Linked DNA regions of Saccharomyces cerevisiae S288C. The protein of the gene in region 2 purifies or fractionates together with the protein of the main gene of each other region. This does not show direct contact. Each region holds a gene or a part of one and is shown on either strand. Other genes may lie near its edges.

Region 1 (2,873 bases), on a different chromosome or scaffold from region 2:
AAGAATTAACACCTTATCAACTGCAGCGCTCTAAAATGAAAAGAAGCTTTCAATTTCCCAATGGCGAAATATACAAGCCAAAACTTGATGGAAAATGCACCCACAGCTTGAAAAAGCCTGAATTAAATTCAAGAGACTCTTCTTTATTCAAATTCAGCGAGAAGAAAGGTCGCAATTTATCAAAAGATTTTGTGGGGCCTCATAATGGGACATCAGTCATACATATTCCTCCCAATGATACAGGCTACGGTGTAAATAGCTTGGAGCTGAACACTTCAGTTCCTTCAACAATAAAAAGTTCGGTTTCATCAACCTCTCCGATATCTGCTGTTAATACCCTGACCAGCTTGCCAGAAAGTCAAACTGATGATGATGACGGTTATGAAAATAAAACTGTAACTATATCTTATTGCTTCGAAAATACGGTAAATGAAAAACATGGTAGCCATATAGAAAAATTGGATTTATCAACTAAGGAAAAAACTAAGCCAACAACTAATTCAGGCCTATTTGATAGAAAGAAAAAGACTATTCTGGGCACTGAGAAATATAGATGTATAAAGTCACAATCGAAGTTGAAACTGGGTTCTGTTTTGAAGAAATTATGGCGTACTTCAGGAAACTCGAATACAAAGCATGGAAAAAAGGATACAAAAAGAAGGAGAATTCCTATCGATGATATGGTTACGCATTCTGATGGAAATTCTGAAGCTGAGAATGATATTGAATTAATGGATGCAAATCTGGACGGCATTGAATTTGACGACGACGAAACTCTAATGGATACAGATTCAATTTTTGATGATCTGTTGTCCAAGGAAAATGATAAATACGATTTGAGGCGAAGGCAATTAGAAATACGACAAAAGCTCCACGAGACCTCGCACAACGACGATGGCAAGGTTTCTTTTCGAGATACCGAAAAGCATAATGTCAATGAAGGTTTGATCGACAAGACCATAATCGAAGAATTTTCAAAGCTCGGTGAATATATAATCGACACGAGAAATCAACCACCACCAAGATCGTCCAAGAGGCCTTCATTAGATGACAATGAATCTGCACGATACTTCTACAACATATCGACAGATTTGCGACAGTCTCTGTCAGGTCCAATAAGCTTACCAATGCATGTTGGGAACGACATGGTAAATAGGTTGAGAAATGACTGGGAGTATATCAGATTCGAAGATAGAAGGAATTCGCTGCCAGATTCCTCATTTGATAAAGTCGAAACACCTCCAAAACCAATAAAAAAAGATGTCCGGTTTGCAAAAGAAGTATGTTTAGCAAGCACTTGGTCATCGAATGCATATGAGAGAGCTAATCCGGAATTCATTATGAATCGCCACAGATTGTTGTGGATGATGAAAGTACATCCAAGCATGAATAGTGCCATGAATGAGATCAAACTTGAACTTAACTCTTACAAAAAAAATGAGATGGTTGTCCATGAGAACAGCAAGTGCTTTACACATTATTTAATTTGAGTTATTAACGTAACATAATCCAGTTTATTTTTTGCAATAGAAGGCGTCATACATATTTATATATCAATGTATACATTCCATTCCAGTTACTTCTTTTGCATCTTGCTTCCTGTTTACCTTGACCTCGAACCTATTATTTGTCCGCAATGCGCCTTTGGGTGAAAAGGGATTTCGTTTCCATTTTAACTGTACATAATGTAAATGTAGAAAAGCGTGGTTCTTAAAGGATTTACGGTTCAATACGCTTTTATAAACCTGCTGGTGCTCTAATTACGAATGAAACATGGACCAGGCAAGAAATTTCTACAACACAATTTTAAAATCGTCGCACCCGTTGCTACTATCATTTCATCTGGCAGGTAAGGCAGTTCCCATTGTATTTTATATCATAGGATCAATGTTTTTGAATTTCACACCTCAATTCATCACTGTCGTTCTTTTACTTTCTTTTGACTTTTACTTAACAAAAAACATTACAGGTCGGAAACTGGTCCAATTACGCTGGTGGTATGATTCTACAGATGTGAACAAAGATTCTAATTTTACTTTCGAATCATATAAGCAATATGCGCCGGGCCCACCAATAAATGCCATCGATTCTAAGTTATTCTGGTGGTCGATGTATGTGACACCCGTAATCTGGGGTGTCTTCGCTGTGTTGTGTCTTTTAAGACTGAAAATATTCTACCTGATTTTGGTCATTGTTGCAATGTGTCTGACCGCCTGGAACACGTATGGATTTCGTTGTTGCGATAGATGGGAGCCCAATAGTGGACAATCTGACGGTCAAGATACTAATAATTGGTTCGCTCTTCCTTCTGTTCCGGGCTTTGAAAATCTTTCAAGGCTGGCTAATATCCAATCGTTTTTCCAGAGACAATAAAACCTTGTCCCTCATGTGAACATTGTGGAGTACTTCTTCTAGATGATTTTTACTTTACGCAATGTACTACAGGAAAAGAATACAATTATATGTATAAATATAGTATACAAAAGAAAAAACAATATTAAAATATGAAAATGACGGATGAAGTCGTTATCTTCTTTTATAAATACAGGGCTTCAAGAGCCATTTTCCTTCGGCAATTTTCCGTCTTTTCTTTTCTAATTCTTCCTTCTCAGTTTCAACTTCAATAAACTTTTGTCTTCTTTCCAATTTCTGCCTTCTCTCTTCAATAATCTCCGCAGGTGGCTTGAAAAATTCGAATCTTGTAAACATCTTATTCTCGTCGAAGGTCTTTTTGTGAAAAAATCCCATCAGCTTCAAAGCGTCTACAAATTCATTACCTTTGCCGTCACTAAACCTTGATTTAATTTCTGCGATCCATAATTCACCCCTTGGCGCTAAAATCCTATAAGCTTCTTTTATGAAATCGAGGAAAT
Region 2 (2,775 bases):
AGCTCGCACCACAGCTAAACTAATCAACTTCGAGGTTCAAGATACGGAACCTAAAGTAGAGGTGGCTAAGAAAAATGGTTTTTTGGTTCAAAATTTGGTTGCTGGAAATACTGCCGAAGATCTAAGGAGATTTTTTGAACCACATCTCAAGCATACGTTAGTAGTGAATCCTCAATACCTAATCCTTGATGATGGCAAAACAGCACTAGTGTATCCTGAAAATTACGAAACAGCATCCGTGAATACCGAACGTGACATGGAGCTTTTGGTTGGACACTTCGATTTTATGGCCAAAGAGGCATTTTTGGCCGATTCCATTTCGTTGTGTTCAACTGAAGAAGAACTTGAAAGAAGGTTGGATACGCCCGTAATTCAAGAGGATAGTCCTGTAATGGATAATAATACATGAACTATAATAGCGTGTCATTATTTATTACGCGGAATTCTAATTAAATAGAAATATCTAACTTTTATTTTTTTTCATCCTATCTCATTTCTTGTTTCTCCCTGTCGTTGCTAAAATACGAGGATCTGCATATGTTTACATATCAACGTTCCCGTAAACGAATGGAGAATACTGAGTGTCACGTTAATAATACGGATATTATAATTTGGAAACCTAGTCAAGTAAAACCAGAAGAGATTTTTCTTTTCTCTTAAGCTTTTTTGGCTTGACCAAACGAAAAGTCCCTCACACCCAAACACTGAAAGTAATTCTTCGTATTTAAATAATTCAAAAGTTATGATGAGCAGGCTCTATGTAAAAAAATGGCCCATAATTTTCCCTAGAACGTTATAAAAACGCGACTAGTGAGGTATTGAGTATGGAGAGTATATTTGGTGGGTTTGGAGATCTAGTTGTTCCTAGGCCAAAGGAGCATCTCGGTCAAACAGACCTTTCCTTCGGTGGAAAATTATTGCCTGCATTGAAAATTTGTGAAGATGGCGGTGAAAGTGGTTGTGGCGGTAAAGTCTGGATCGCTGGCGAACTGTTGTGCGAGTACATACTCGAGAAATCAGTTGACCATCTGCTAAGTAAGACGGTCAATGGTACGAAACAATTTAAAAAAGTCTTAGAATTGGGTAGTGGTACAGGTTTAGTTGGATTGTGCGTGGGGTTGTTGGAAAAAAACACATTCCACGATGGCACTAAAGTATATGTTACGGACATTGACAAGTTGATACCACTATTGAAAAGAAATATAGAACTGGACGAAGTTCAGTATGAAGTTCTTGCGAGGGAACTTTGGTGGGGTGAGCCGCTGTCGGCAGATTTCTCACCTCAAGAAGGTGCTATGCAAGCAAATAACGTTGATCTAGTTTTGGCAGCTGATTGTGTGTATCTCGAGGAAGCTTTTCCATTACTAGAAAAAACACTACTTGATCTCACTCACTGCATAAACCCACCTGTAATCTTGATGGCTTACAAGAAGAGAAGAAAAGCTGATAAACATTTTTTCAACAAGATTAAAAGAAATTTTGACGTTCTTGAAATTACAGATTTTAGTAAATTTGAACATTATCTTAAGGAAAGAACCCACTTGTTTCAGCTTATCAGGAAGTAACCTGACACAGTGAATTTATCTCTTAATGATCCTGATCTTATTATATTTAGTAATGAACTTTTCGATAGACATTTGTAATTCATGAAAAAACGATATAACATTCATTTTTGTAGTGTGGTGTACGCATGGTGGGACTGCTCTTCTTGAGCGAAATTTTGATCTTCAATAGAGTGAGCAACGACAACTCAAGGATAAAGACAGAACAGCGGTAAACATCGTTTGCAAAATAACTAGAGAGCCGGATCGATTTACTTTGCAAAGTTGCGTCCTTTTTCCACGACAGAATATGTCTGCATTATTTAATTTTCGTTCTCTTCTGCAAGTGATATTGTTACTGATTTGTTCATGTTCTTATGTTCATGGGCAGTGGCCGTCTCTCCTAGATCGTTACAAAAATCATGAGGTTTTGGGGGCCTTCTGGAAAATGGCACGTGTTGGTGAAAGGGCCAGTCCATATGTTAGTTTAGCATGTATTTTGATGGCCATCAGTCAATTTAACAGCTGATTGGAAGATACTTAGTCATATGGATTTAAAGTTACGCAAATCAAGGTCATAGAAGGTGCAGTACCTTTTAAAACAAAGAGTATAAGTGGATTCAGACGAAGTGTCTCTTTAATTCTATCGTCTGATAGCGTACAAGTAAGGGTGCTATGAGCTAGCACGCACAGCAAAAATATAAACACTTTTGTATTTTTTTTTATTTTATAGTGTTTTGTGTTGAGTATTCATCTATTCGACCTCTATAGAGATTTAAGAAGGGAATTCATTGTCACAATAAGGACGCATAGTTGTTCATTTTAGACATCATTTACAGCACTTCCGTAAACTACCCCATATTGCGATTGAATACTACCGAAAAGGCTCAAGAATTTACGTGGTGCCCAATCAATTATATAGAATGAGGAACAATGGTAAGTAATGAATAATCATGGTCAGTAATAAAAAAGCAATCTCGTCCATGTTTCTTTTTGAAACTCAGAGCTTGACTCTGTTGCATTGGTATTTCATCATTTGATGAATTATTCACTATTCCATCTTCTTCTTACACAAGTTTACCAATAAATAACTCATCTGAGTTATTCAGACTTTTTATTAGATCAGTTCGGCATATTTAACTATGCAAAAGTTTTACACTGCTAAAAAGTAGTGTAAACAACAAACTGTTAAAAAAATAAAAAGGGGTGAATCCATGGACCAAGAATAGTAAGC

Evidence for each region.
Region 1: the proteins of KSH1 (region 2) and TVP23 purify together in Saccharomyces cerevisiae (affinity purification with a luminescence readout, with the first as the bait; one study listed by BioGRID). This does not show direct contact.

The regions. Positions count from the first base shown.
Region 1 is NC_001136.10:612,905-615,777, reverse strand, and holds TVP23 (Tvp23p), read left to right. Parts: upstream 1-1,773; coding exon 1,774-2,373; downstream 2,374-2,873. Other genes in the region: AFR1 (Afr1p), read left to right, coding at 1-1,490; RRP8 (25S rRNA (adenine645-N1)-methyltransferase), read right to left, coding at 2,527-2,873. UniProt on the Saccharomyces cerevisiae protein: Golgi membrane protein involved in vesicular trafficking.
Region 2 is NC_001146.8:585,897-588,671, reverse strand, and holds KSH1 (Ksh1p), read left to right. Parts: upstream 1-1,851; coding exon 1,852-2,070; downstream 2,071-2,775. Other genes in the region: FAP1 (Fap1p), read left to right, coding at 1-409; EFM6 (putative protein-lysine N-methyltransferase), read left to right, coding at 825-1,565. UniProt on the Saccharomyces cerevisiae protein: Involved in the early part of the secretory pathway.